2 linked regions of the Stegostoma tigrinum genome follow. The protein of the gene in region 2 purifies or fractionates together with the protein of the main gene of each other region. This does not show direct contact. Links are inferred from orthologs where the notes say so. Each region holds a gene or a part of one and is shown on either strand. Other genes may lie near its edges.

Evidence for each region. The genes of interacting proteins can lie anywhere in the genome.
Region 1: the proteins of eif3hb (region 2) and eif3g purify together in Homo sapiens (affinity purification with mass spectrometry; 8 studies listed by BioGRID and IntAct, counting the BioPlex papers as one, with this or other methods). This does not show direct contact. The link is inferred for Stegostoma tigrinum from reciprocal best matches to the Homo sapiens genes EIF3H and EIF3G.

What each region holds. Positions count from the first base shown.
Region 1 is NC_081388.1:22,375,200-22,383,001, forward strand, and holds the start of eif3g (eukaryotic translation initiation factor 3 subunit G), read right to left. Parts: upstream 3,002-7,802; 5' UTR 2,989-3,001; coding exon 2,900-2,988; intron 2,788-2,899; coding exon 2,741-2,787; intron 1-2,740. UniProt on the Homo sapiens protein: RNA-binding component of the eukaryotic translation initiation factor 3 (eIF-3) complex, which is required for several steps in the initiation of protein synthesis.
Region 2 is NC_081358.1:13,622,880-13,630,110, reverse strand, and holds the start of eif3hb (eukaryotic translation initiation factor 3 subunit H-B), read right to left. Parts: upstream 3,011-7,231; 5' UTR 3,005-3,010; coding exon 2,848-3,004; intron 1-2,847.

The DNA.
Region 1 (7,802 bases), on a different chromosome or scaffold from region 2:
CCCCAACATACTCCCCCTCCCCCACATCTCTCCCCCCGACATACTCCGTCCCCCCTCACATACTCCCCCCCACATACTCCGTCCTCCCCCCACATACTCCCCCTCCCCCCGACTCCCCCCCACATTCTCCGTTCCGCCCCCGACTCTCCCCTCCCACATACTCCCCCTCCCCCCCGACTCTCCCCCCCCACATACTCCCCCTCCCCCCCGACTCTCCCCCCCACATACTCACCCTCCTGCCCCGACTCTCCCCCCCAACATACTACTCCTCTCCCCCCACTCTCCACCCCAACATACTACTCCTCTCCCCCCACTCTCCCCCCCAACATACTCCCCCTCCCCCCAACATACTCCCCCCTCCCCCACATCTCTCCCCCCGACTCCCCCCCCACATACTCCGTCCCCCCCTCACATTCTCCGTTCCGTCCCCGACTCTCCCCCCCCACATACTCCCCCTCCCCCCGACTCTCCCCCCCCCACATACTCCCCCTCCCCCCCGACTCTCCCCCCCCCCACATACTCCCCCTCCCCCCCGACTCTCCCCCCCCCCACATACTCCCCCTCCCCCCCCCACATACTCCCCCTCCCCCCGACTCTCCCCCCCCACATACTCCCCCTCCCCCCCGACTCTCCCCCCCCCACATACTCCCCCTCCCCCCCCGACTCTCCCCCCCCCACATACTCCCCCTCCCCCCCCCACATACTCCCCCTCCCCCCGACTCTCCCTCCCCCCCGACTCTCCCCCCCCACATACTCCCCCTCCCCCCCCCACATACTCCCCCTCCCCCCGACTCTCCCTCCCCCCCGACTCTCCCCCCCCACATACTCCCCCTCCCCCCCGACTCCCCCCCCCACATACTCCCCCTCACCCCGACTCCCCCCCCACATACTCCCCCTCACCCCGACTCCCCCCCCCACATACTCCCCCTCACCCCGACTCCCCCCCCCACATACTCCCCCTCACCCCGACTCCCCCCCCCACATACTCCCCCTCACCCCGACTCCCCCCCCCCACATACTCCCCCTCACCCCGACTCCCCCCCCCCACATACTCCCCCTCCCCCCCGACTCCCCCCCCACATACTCCCCCTCCCCCCGACTCCCCCCCCCACATACTCCCCCTCCCCCCCGACTCCCCCCCCACATACTCCCCCTCCCCCCCCGACTCCCCCCCCCCACATACTCCCCCTCCCGCCCGACTCTCCCCCCCCACATACTCCCCCTCCCCCCCGACTCTCCCCCCCCACATACTCCCCCCCGACTCTCCCCCCCCACATACTCCCCCTCCCCCCGACTCTCCCCCCCACATACTCCCCCTCCCCCCCGACTCTCCCCCCCCACATACTCCCCCTCCCCCCGACTCTCCCCCCCCACATACTCCCCCTCCCCCCCGACTCTCCCCCCCCACATACTCCCCCTCCCCCCCGACTCTCCCCCTCCCCCCGACTCTCCCCCCCCACATACTCCCCCTCCCCCCCGACTCCCCCCCCCACATACTCCCCCCCCCACATACTCCCCCTCCCCCCGACTCTCCCCCCCCCGACTCTCCCCCTCCCCCCCGACTCTCCCCCCCACATACTCCCCCTCCCCCCCGACTCCCCCCCACATACTCCGTCCCCCCCCACATACTCCCCCTCCCCCCTACTCTCCCCCCCCACATACTCCCCCTCCCCCCCGACTCCCCCCCACATACTCCGTCTCCCCCCCACATACTCCCCCTCCCCCCGACTCCCCCCCCACATACTCCGTCTCCCCCCCACATACTCCCCCTCCCCCCCGACTCCCCCCCCACATACTCCCCCTCCTCCCCGACTCTCCCCCCACATACTCCCCCTCCTCCCCGACTCTCCCCCCACATACTCCCCCTCCTCCCCGACTCTCCCCCCCACATACTCCCCCTCCTCCCCGACTCTCCCCCCCACATACTCCCCCTCCTCCCCGACTCTCCCCCCCACATACTCCCCCTCCTCCCCGACTCTCCCCCCCACATACTCCCCCTCCCCCCCCCACATACTCCCCCTCCCCCCCGACTCTCCCCCCCAACATACTCCCCCTCCCCCCCGACTCTCCCCCCCAACATACTCCCCCTCCCCCCCGACTCTCCCCCCCAACATACTCCCCCTCCCCCCCGACTCTCCCCCCCAACATACTCCCCCTCCCCCCCGACTCTCCCCCCCAACATACTCCCCCTCCCCCCCGACTCTCCCCCCCAACATACTCCCCCTCCCCCCGACTCCCCCCCCACATACTCCGTTCCACCCCCGACTCTCCCCCCCCACATACTCCCCCTCCCCCCCGACTCTCCCCCCCAACATACTCCCCCTCCGCCCCCACTCTCCCCCCCCACATACTCCGTTCCACCCCCGACTCTCCCCCCCCACATACTCCCCCTCCCCCCCGACTCTCCCCCCCAACATACTCCCCCTCCCCCCGACTCCCCCCCCACATACTCCGTTCCACCCCCGACTCTCCCCCCCCACATACTCCCCCTCCCCCCCGACTCTCCCCCCCAACATACTCCCCCTCCGCCCCCACTCTCCCCCCCACGCCCCCAACCCCCAACTCTCCCCACACACGCCCCGTTCCCGCTGCACACTACCGCCCCCCCCCCAATCTCCGGAAGGGACGGGCGGTAATGCTCGTGACCCAGGATCCCGATTATTTTCAGCGGGAGCTGCCCCGGCGGCGGTAGCTGGGACCCGGCCCACGTGTGGGGCCCGGCCTGAGGCCTGTTCCTTACCCTCGTCTCCCTCCTCCTCCACCTGGTCGGCCCAGCTGGGCTTCGAGCTGCGGGGCAGAGAGAAACAAAACACGTTCCGGTTAGCGACGGAGAGACTGGCGGCTCCGCGAGTAACTCACACCCTCTCCTAGGGTTTCCGAGCCCAAGCCCCGCACTCACTCGAAATCCATAGTGAACCGGAACCGGGCGCATCCAGAGAGCCGGAGATAGGCCGCAGGCTGGGCGGATACGGTGGCCTCCCAAAACATCGCCACCCGGCGGCTGGGCAGCTACAGTAACCGCCCAACACAGCGCCACCCGGAGGCTGGGCAGGTGCAGTGACCTCCCAAAACTGCGCCATCAAAAGGCTGGGCAGAGGCTGCGACCTCCCAAACCAGCGCCACCCGGAGGCTGAGCAGACACTGACACCTCCCTGCACAGTGCCACCCTCAGGCTGGGCGGACACAGTGACCTCCCAATACAGCGCCACCTGCAGGCTGGACGGACTGAATAACCATACAAAACAGCGCCCGTCGGCATATGAGAGATAACAAGATGCAGGGATAATGGGAACTGCAGACGCTGGAGAATCCAAGATAATAAAATGTGAGGCTGGATGAACACAGCAGGCCAAGCAGCATCTCAGGAGCACAAAAGCTGACGTTTCGGGCCTAGACCCTTCATCAGAGAGGGGGATGGGGTGAGGGAACTGGAATAAATAGGGAGAGAGGGGGGAGGCGGACCGAAGATGGATAGAGGAGAAGATAGGTGGAGAGGAGAGTATAGGTGGGGAGGGAGGGAGGGGATAGATCAGTCCAGGGAAGACGGACAGGTCAAGGAGGTAGGAAATGGAGGTGTGGCTTGGGGTGGGAGGAAGGGATAGGTGAGAGGAAGAAGAGGTTAGGGAGGCAGAGACAGGCTGGGCTGGTTTTGGGATGCAGTGGGTGGAGGGGAAGAGCTGGGCTCCCAAAACCAGCCCAGCCTTCTCTGCCTCCCTCACGTCCACACCAACCCTCAGAATATTATCCACCCACGCCCCCGGACCCATCCCTGAACACTACGGGCAATTTAGCACAGCCAATCGACCTAAACTGCACATCTTTGGACTGTGGGAGGAAACCGGAGCACCCGGAGGAAACCTATGCAGACATGGGGAGAACGTGCAAACTCCACACAGTCACCCGAGGCTGGAATTGAACCCGGGTCCCTGGTGCTGTGAAGCTGCGGTGCTGACCACTGAGCGACGTGCTGCCTCATTAATTTTGTCCAACTCAACCATACTGACAAGATATCCTAAATTAATCTAGTCCCATTTGCCAGCATTTGGCCTACAACCTTTCAAACCCTTCCTATTCATATAATGAGCCAGATGCCTTTTAAATGTTGTAATTGTACCAGTCTCCATCACTTTCACTGTTCCTTCATTATTCTCAGGAACTCAGTTATCCAGACACACTTGTTACTAAACAAAAGACACAGTCAGCTGTGCAGGTTCACTGCTGATTTCTTTTCACTTCCCCATGTGGTCTCTACTTTGTCTGCCTTCCTCCTTTTTAAAGTGCTGTTGTTTTGACTTTTTCTTCCAAAGTTTCAAAACAACGTGACTGCTCAAAAGACAGTAATTACTTCTCCAAAAAATCAAGGAAACCATCTTCACCACTGAAAATACCTCAAAAGGAGCAGCTCCTACAGCCACAAATTTTCCCCATCCTCCATGTTGAATTACCCAGAATCTTTTTCATTTGATTTGGTTTATTGTCACATGTGCCTGAGTACAGTGAAAAGCTTTGTTTTGCGAGCAGTACAGGTAGGTCATAGCAAACAAGGACATATAGATCACAGAGATAGTGAGAACTGCTGATGTTGGAGCCTGAGATAACAAGGTATAGAAATGGATGAACACTGCGAGCCAGGCAGCATCAGAGGAGCAGGAAAGAAGACATTTCCGGTCGGGACCCTTCTTCAGAAAACTTTCTTCTGAAGAAGGCCCCACACCTAAAAAGTCAACCTTGCTGCTCCTTTGATGCATACAGATGGCAGGGTGCTCAGACAGAGTGAGACATACAGCGTATACTGCTCAGAAGGTGCGCAAAGCAAGACTAACATTATTTGAAATGGGAGAGGTTCATTCAGCAGTCTGATAACCGCAGGGAAGAAGCAGTTCTTGAACCTGTTGGTACATATGTTTAAGCTGCTATTATCTTCTGCCTGACAGAGGAGGTTGAGAAGAGATTATCACTGGGGCGGGAGGGGTCTTTGACAACGTTCACAGCCTTTCCATGGCAACAAGAAGTGTCAATGGAGTTCATGAATGGGAGGTTGGCTTGTGTGATGGTGTGAGCTGTACCCACAACTTCCCGTGGTTTCTTACGGTTCTAAGCAGATTTCCAGCAGCCACGTTCTTTTGCTTGTATTTTGAGAATTTCTGTGAGATCCTGGATTGAGGAAGATATGCTTGATTAGGAGTGAAACCAGGAAACACATCCCTGTTCACACAAAGAATAGGGAACATCTGGAACTCAGATGGAGATCTGGTTTCAGTTGGAGATTTCAGTCTGGGATTGATAGAATATTGTGTAATTGTAAATCTGGACCAATGATCGGTAAAGAGCAGGTACCATCTGACTGAATGGCAGAACAGACTTGCGGGATGAGTGGCCTGTTCCTGTTTCTGTTCCCGATGCTGCAAGGCCAAAAAGTGAAGCCCGATCACAGAACTGTTTAAGAAAACTCTTAAAATTTCCAACATGTTGCATTTATTGTGGATCTTTTAACATGTTTAAATGATCCTGGGGCATTCAAGAAGGATAAGGGTTTGCAAGCATCCTTGCAAAGAGCAGAGAGAATTAAAAAGAAACAGAAATGTCTTGTTGTTATCAGTATGACAGTAAACATGGCAAGTTCCTGCAGCCTTTCTCAGTGGAGCATGTAATGGTCACGCTATCTGCTGCATTGATCGGATATTTCAAACTGAAAACAGCTTTTATTATTGATGTTGAGTAACGATTAGAAACTATGCATTCCTTAAATCACAGATTATATCTTCGGCAGTGATGCAAACTGGAAAGTGTGTTTTGACCACGGTTCGGAATCCTTCCTCAAAAATGATTATACTCGAATCAACGTATTTACTGCATTTCCCTTACCAGAGAGACCACCAGATTTAAACGTTCTGTTTTTATTTCAAGTTTGCAGCGTCTAAAGTATTTTTCTTTGACAGTAAAACAGCAAGGCCAATCGTAAGGCATTTGCCCACAGAATCATGTTTAGGGGAGTCATAGCAGCACAGAAACAGGCCCTTCATCCCAACCTGTCCATGCCGACTTGGTTTCCAAAACTGTCCTAGTCCTGTTTGCATGCATTTGGCTCCCTTTCCATGTACCTGTCCAAATGCCTTTTAAATGTACTATTTGTATCCACCTCTGTCACATCCTGTTGCAGCTTGTTCCATGTACGCACACGATGAGATAGTTGGCTCTCTCCCCCGTACCCAGCTTTTCCTGGAGACGTGTGGGTGGAAAAGAAAATCTCAAAGAAAACCACGTTAGTGCAGCAAAAACGTCTTTATGTTCAACTTGTTCATGCTGCACAGTGGCCTGACCTGGCGTTACCTTGAGGACATTTTATTTCTGCTCATTGTGTTGCCTGTCCAGCATATTGTCATCACTCTCGAACATCAATTCCACATTCCCACGCTGCGGTGTAAAACCCCACAGCATTCGCGTTCCCCTCCTGCAGCTTCAACTCAGGACGGAGAATGGCGGGAGTGGGTGGTTTCAGCAGATTCCTTAAGACTGCTGGTTTGGAGAATGTGCTGTATCTGTGATTACCGTACCCCACTGTATCTGTAATTACCGTACCCCCCTGTATCTGTAATTACCGTACCCCCCTGTATCTGTAATTACCGTACCCTCCTGTATCTGCAATTACCGTCCCCCCCTGTATCTGTAATTACCGTACCCTCCTGTATCTGCAATTACCGTCCCCCACTGTATCTGTAATTACCGTCCCCCACTGTATCTGTAATTACCGTACCCTCCTGTATCTGCAATTACCGTCCCCCCCTGTATCTGTAATTACCGTACCCTCCTGTATCTGCAATTACCGTCCCCCACTGTATCTGTAATTACCGTCCCCCACTGTATCTGTAATTACCGTACCCTCCTGTATCTGCAATTACCGTCCCCCCCTGTATCTGTAATTACCGTACCCTCCTGTATCTGTAATTACCGTACCCTCCTGTATCTGCAATTACCGTCCCCCACTGTATCTGTAATTACCGTCCCCCACTGTATCTGTAATTACCGTACCCCCTGTATCTGTAATTACCGTACCCCCTGTATCTGTGATTACCGTACCCCCCTGTATCTGTAATTACCGTACCCTCTGTATCTGTAATTACCGTACCCCCCTGTATCTGCAATTACCGTCCCCCCCTGTATCTGTAATTACCGTACCCTCTGTATCTGTAATTACCGTACCCTCCTGTATCTGCAATTACCGTCCCCCCCTGTATCTGTAATTACCGTCCCCCACTGTATCTGTAATTACCGTACCCCCTGTATCTGTAATTACCGTACCCCCTGTATCTGTGATTACCGTACCCCCCTGTATCTGTAATTACCGTACCCTCTGTATCTGTAATTACCGTACCCCTCTGTATCTGTAATTACCGTACCCCCCTGTATCTGTAATTACCGTACCCCACTGTATCTGTAATTACCGTACCCCCCTGTATCTGTAATTACCGTACCCCCTGTATCTGTGATTACCGTACCCCTCTGTATCTGTAATTACCGTACCCCACTGTATCTGTAATTACCGTACCCCTCTGTATCTGTAATTACCGTACCCCACTGTATCTGTAATTACCGTACCCCCCTGTATCTGTGATTACCGTACCCCCCTGTATCTGTAATTACCGTACCCCACTGTATCTGTAATTACCGTACCCCCCTGTATCTGTGATTACCGTACCCCCCTGTATCTGTAATTACCGTACCCCACTGTATCTGTGATTACCGTACCCCCCTGTATCTGTAATTACCGTACCCCCCTGTATCTGTAATTACCGTACCCTCCT
Region 2 (7,231 bases):
CTGCCTAGAGTCAACTCTCGCACAAAAGGAAGATGATTGTGGTTGCAGACCAAATGTTTCAGTCCAAGTCCAGGAATATCACTGCTTGTATTTTTCACTTCAGTGTCCTATGCCCAACCAAGAAATTAGGATGTCTGCAGATGATTGGAAATTGAACAATGTCATTCATCTAGTCAAATCACAAGTAAAATTATGCCAAAATGCAATCAGACCAGGACAAGACTTAGACTTGGTTAACAAGTGGCAAGCAACATGCATGCTGGACCTATGACAGACAATGACTATCTCCAACAAGAGAATGAACGATTTCCTTACAACATCTAGCAGTATTTCCAGCATTCGAATGCCGACAACACCTTAATTTACACCATTAACCAGAAAGATAACTGGGCCTGCCAATACTGTCTCCCCAAAATATGTCCATTATCAACAAGGCACAAAAAAGGCAAGATGCATTTATATAGTGCTTTTCCAACATCAGCACATGCCAAAACACTTACTTGAAAAACAGGAATTGCAAAAGGCTACTTCCACAGAACAAAGTACAACCAGATAATGCATTCTGGTGAAGCTAAGGAATAAACATAAATTAGCTCGTCAGTACATGATAGGATACTGTCCCCATGCCTGATTAGTAAAATATCAACGATAGCCAAAAAGACTGGCATTCACCCATGACTTAAATATAATTGCCTTCACCCCCAGCACATCTGAAGCGCAAAATCTTGACGCAGTATCTTGCCAATACATCTTCAATCAACATCATTGTCAAAATCTATCACTACAAAGGCAACAGTCGCATTGTGACATCACCGGTTCCACATTTTCTTCCAAGTCTTATGCAATACTCACTTAAAAATAAATACTATTTCTTCATTGTTATTGAGCCCAAATCCTGGAACACCTCTCTGTAACCCCATACAAACATCACTTTGGGAGTATCTTAATCACACAATAACTAGTGTTGCTAACCACATCCACATTTCATAAATGGATAAAAACGTTGCATAAAAGGAGCCTACACCTCGTCACAGTGAGCCCTCTATACTTGTTTGGAAAAATAAACTTTATCTAAATATGAACTCATGCACTGATGGGTCTAGGCCCGAAACGTCAGCTTTTGTGCTCCTGAGATGCTGCTTGGCCTGCTGTGTTCATCCAGCCTCACATTTTATTATCTTGGAATCTCCAGCATCTGCAGTTCCCATTATCACTGATGGAGTAAGTTGCTTAGGTAGAATACCAAGTATCCAGGTGTTACATTTTATATTACTGATCAGTCAAGTCAAACTCCAGACATTTTCTGGAACTATAAGCTGAAATGCATCTGAAGAAAATGACCACCTTGGGAAAGAGAACCTGATTCTCATTCTCAAACATCTACATTTGAGGAGAACGGAAAACTGGTACTCGAAGGCAGTGCAAGGTACACTGCTGGGACAGAGTAAAGAGAACTTTAAGTTCTATTTAAATCGTACTAAAATCAGACAAACCTGGGAATGCTTAAAGATGACATAGTGTCCAGAAAATGTGGAAAAAAAACGAAGAATCTCGCACGACCAAACATTCAAAGTGAATGTATTATCTACAAATGTCTTGCAAGTGACAAATCTGGCTTTTGTCCAATCAGCAGTAAGCAGTATTCTCGAAATAGGAAATACAGACAGACGACCTATAGGGAGTTATCGAAGAGTAATGTGTGGTAACTCCAGTTTCCTTAACTTGCTATTTACTCAAAATGCATGGTGTGGAAAATTGTTGCTCCTATTCTTGTCTAGCAAACTGTGCTGACTTATTGGGTGCATTGGATAGATTTCAAACCAAGTGTAGTTTTAACCTAGATATAAAAATCTGAATATTGTCAATCAAAATGCATAGAGAAATCTAGTTACTTAACATAATTTCATTTTGTGCCTGAAGAGATGAAACTGATGCAGTTTTCTTCTGACAAAAGATTTGGGTTTAGTCACATTTCAATAGCACCATTTTCAAGGTACATGGGTTTTAGTTCCATATTAATTATATTAGCCAAGCTTGAAGTAACTTATTAAATATTTTCAAATAAATGGAAAACTGTACAGAAAGAGAAACAAAACAAATTCCTACATATAAGTAATTATGTAGAACAGAAAATTTGATAAAAATGGAAAATTCAGGAGGAAATGGTAAAAAAATTCCAATGAATAAAGTATATTTTAACAGCTTTTCAACTGTAATCCGATTGTTAACATACTGAAACAATTTTTGTGTTACCCAAAGATTAATCGTGCTCATTAGTATTTTTTCTGACAGATATTCAGGATGTAACATTTACTTCTCGGTTGGAAACTTTGTAACAGCCTGCCAGCTATGGCAAATAGTGAGCTTGGGGAAGGCAATAAAGATGTTTTACCTACAGCTATGATACTGCACAGAACATCTGGTTTAGTGAGTAAAGGAAACGCCACTAAATGGGCAGAAAAAAGAAAATCTTTGTGCTAAGAACAGTCTACGTTTTGTGAGCGCCTGTCAGAGGTGCAATCTGGCAAAATGTGTCATAACTGTAAGGTCACGTACTGAGCCAGACTCAAGCAATCAGTTTTTGTTAGACATCTGGTCCTGTTCCACCCGCCATCAACAAGGGGGAAGAGGAATGAAAAAAAATTGAAGCAGCAACTTCAGCATTCCAGAATGTACACATCAGGGCTCTGATAGCAAGAAAAATAAACAGAAAGAAGGAAACCCTGTCTAGACTGAGCTGCTGCTGGGGCTGAGGCAGACACTGGGCTGGTATTTACTGAGAGGGACTGCCAGGCAGCACTGCCAGGTAAACAGTGAAGTAGAAATGAATAGGAAAACGTCACTGACCATAGATGAGGACCACAGACTCTTCAATTGCGTGTTGGTAACTAAACTGGGAGTCCAACAAAGCTCGACTGACGAAAGAGCCATAGTAGGTTGACTGGTACCAGCCAACATGGAGGTGGTCTATGTTAACATGACGCAAGCTTCTCATCATTTCCATTTGGTATTGAACTGTAAAACAAACAGAAAGAAACCATTTTTTTCAATTTTAAGCAGAGTTACAATCAGATTTACACTGCTTAAATATTTTATGATCAGATTCTGTCTATGAATGATACAACACAAAACATTAAACACCATTCTCAAGTATTAACCCTGCAGAGTACTGTTACATATATTTGACACAAAACCTATTGGTACCACTTGATAATTATCTCTCAGTCTGATCCCTGCTGAAAATCTACTCCTGGTCAGGACTTAAGATTCAAGCACATTATTACGCTTATGTGTAAAACTTCTGCAAGTCAGAAAAAAACATGCACATGATAATTTACTCCAGCGAAAACTTTAGAATTACTAGTCTAGATAATTGGAAACTATTTAGATAGTGGGACATACCACATAACATTCAATACTATCATTTGGTTACACGTTCTTTAACTTGTACAGAATAAATAATCAATCTGTAACACTCACACACATTATTATTAGATATTAAAGTATATAATAATGATGATCACCCAAGATCGTAGAGGGCTTTCACAGATGTCCAACTTACTTTGTGCACCAATTGCCATTATTTGGGCTAGAGACCACAAAAGATACAATTTTAACCCATTTTCTTTTAAAATACTGTTTACAGAAAGTCTAAAATGCTCAACTTCAAAATACAGAATAGCGGTTACATCCAAGACACAATTTCTACAAGGTTGATACGTCAAAGTTGACCACACTGAACTTGCCTACTACTCAAATCTCAAAACAATCCTTTGTTGCTTTAAACTAGAAACATGCCTGATGGCTTATAACCATTCCAAACAACCAGAGTATTTAAAATCTTCGAGATCTATTAGGGATTGGACAATACCCACACAAGAACAGGATTAGGCCATTCGGCACTCAAACCTGTTCCATCATTCCAGATAATGGCTGATCATCTATCTCAATGCCATATTCATGCAATATTCCGACTTCTCTTGGTATCATCAGTAACTAGAAATGTGTAAATGTCTACTTTGAACTTAATGACTGAAATTCCACAGCCCCCTCAGTTAGAGAATTTTAAAGATTCACCAACCTCCAGGCGAAGAAGTTCTTCATTTCACTGCAATAAATGACTATGCTATGGACTAGTAACATCCTCAAAACACTAACTGGCAGCCAAACATGTTTTCACCTTCATAAATCCACTTGGACTCTATCCACTCAGACAAATATTTTCTAAAGATCCTCTAATCACATCCTTTATAACAATCCTGATATGTTCCTGACAACTAATATCAGGCTAACAAGTCATCATGTTCCCTGCTTTTTAGGCTCCTTTCTTAAACAATGGGGTTACATTTGCAACCTTCAGGCACTTTTGTTGAATTAATCAAATTTTGAAAGAAGACCACCAGTGTATCCACTATTTCTCCAGCCAGGGCTTTAAACTCTCAAGTTGGGTCCTGGATATTTCTCAACTTTCAGCTCCATTAACTTCTCCAATGCAACTTTCCTAATAGGTTTATTTGTTTTTTGGTTTCACACTTGCACTAGATTGCTAGATTTAATTATTTCAGAAAGACCACTTGTATCTTCTACCGTGAAGATGTAGGGAAGTACTTATTTAGCTTTTTGTATCAGTGATAATGGGAACTGCAGATGCTGGAGAATTCGAGATAATAAAGTGTGAAGCTGGATGAACACAGCAGGCCAAGCGGCATCTTAGGAGCATAAAAGCTGACTTTTCGGGCCTAGTCCCTTCATCAGAGAGCTCTCTGATGAAGGGTCTAGGCCCGAAACGTCAGCTTTTGTGCTCCCGAGATGCTGCTTGGCCTGCTGTGTTCATCCAGCTTCACACTTTATTATTTAGCTTTTTTGCTATTTCTTAATTTCCCGTTATAAATTCTCCTGTCTCTGCCTGTAATGGATCCATAATTCTCATGGCTCATCTTTCCCTTCTTAGCGCTCTGCTTTTCCTGTAGAAAACCCTTGCCTTCAAAGTAAAATACATACTAGTTTGAAAACCAAGCATCAATTTCTTAAATACTACCATGGCTTACTTACTGCCAAACCTTTTAATTTATTTTTTCCAATACACTATATGCAACTTCTTCCTCATACCTTCAAAATTTGTCCAGGTTTATTTTTAAAGACCCTACACCCAAATTGAACTACTTGAAAATTCAATCATACTATGGTCACTATTCCCTGAAGGCTCTTCTAAAACAAGATCTTAAAAAATTATCCGAACATGAGATGTGAATGCTGCTGATGAGAACAGCACTTATTGCCCATTCCTAATTGCTCAGAGGGCAATTCAGAGTCAAGTACACTGCAGTGGATCTGGAGTTTCAGGTAGGCCAGATCAGGTAAGGATCGCAGGCTTCTTTCCAGAACTGTCGTCAATGAGCCAAATGTTTTCTGTAACATTGGATAGGTCACAATTAGGCTAAATTTTAATTCCACTTTTTGTGGATTTCAGATTTCCACTATCTGCCATACTATGATGTGAATCCAGAATATAAGCCTGGGCTCTGGATTACTATTTCAGGATTATTAGATGGGCAGCACTTCTGCCTCACAGCAGAGACCCAGGTTCGATTCCACCCTCAGGCGACTGTCTATGTGGAGTTTTCACATTCCCATGTCTGTGTGGCTTTACTCCGGGTGATCCAGTTTCCTCCAACAGTACAAAGACATGCAGGTTAGGTGGATTGGTCATGCTAAATTGCCCATTGTGTCCAGGGGATATGCTAGATGGATTAGCTATGGGAAATGCAGGATTACAGGGATAAAGAAAAGCGGTGGTCTGGTCTTCAGAGGGTCGATGTGGACTCAATGGATCAAATGGTCTGCTTCCACACTGTGGGGATTCTATGATTACCACCATGCTATTGCCTCACCATCATTTGCTCATTTTCACTCCATAATGCTAGATCTAAAATGGCCCATGCCTGAGTTGGTTCCTCAACTCATTGATCCAGAGACCCTCCCAAACAAATTCCAGGAATTCCTCCGCCACAACCTTTACACTTATTAGATTTATCCAGTCTACATGTTGATGTAAGTCACCCTTGATAACACTTCCCCTTGCCTCCAAGCATCTCTAATTTCTCGATTTATACCATGCCTTACAATACCAAAACTGTTTAACCACTCCTGCTTATGTTTACTGAGTCTTGCTTGAACCAAAATTCCATGCCATGCTCTTCTCTCACTGAAAAACTGAGCGTGTCCATCATGGTCACCGCTACCATTACCTCCTTCCATCCCTCCTGAAGTTCGACAATCCTTTAACATTTGTCTCCCAAGGTTTGATTACCCCACAGCGTGGTGTTCATAATGGCAATTAAATAATACCCTTTTAACCCTATTACTGCCATCAGCTCACCTATCTTGTTGAGAATGTTGCATGCATTCAGGTAGACTGCTTTTAATTCTGCCTTTTTACACTATTGTGCAATTTGAACCTAGGATTTGTTTGTGCTGCTTTCCACTGTTGGTTATAGCATTTCTGCTTCCCATTGCTACCTTCGCTTTTATTCTATCCAAATTTACACTTGGCATCCCTTCCCCCAACAAGTGAGTTTAAATCCTCTACAACATAACTAGCCTATCTTCCAACAGCATATCCCATGAAAGCATTTTTAAACAACAGATATAGTTACGTAAATCTGAAAACCATTATCAAGCACCCATCACGTTTTCCCTATAAAAATTACAGAATTCAAGATATCAGTTAGCATCGCTGTTCATCTTGATTGACAAAAAAAATTAAATATAAGCATTTTTAACAATCACTTCTCATTACTGTTTAATTAAATAAAGACTCCGACTCAAAGTACGTTTACCAACAGTAACTTGAATCAAAATGCCTGTAGGTGTTATGTCAATTATATTTTCAACTCTATTTGGCAGAATGCAGCATCTTGCACTAACCAATAAGAATTACATGTACAAGGTTTCATTTAAATTCTGACAAATAAAATTTAAAAGCTTTTTTCAAAATATGAGCTATGTACTTTGTTTTAAAACAAGTCCTTCCAGCATGCAAAGCTGTTCAATGAAAGGGAAAACTATTTTCCACCTGAAAGCAATACTATTAGATAATAGATCATTTTTATTTATCTAAAAGAGAATTATTAATGATTACCTTCATTGATTTCATGGTTAGAATTTAAAAGTCACAGGACAGGGTAGAAGGCATGTTACCAGTAGGTGGCTCAAGCTGCTACACTTAGGA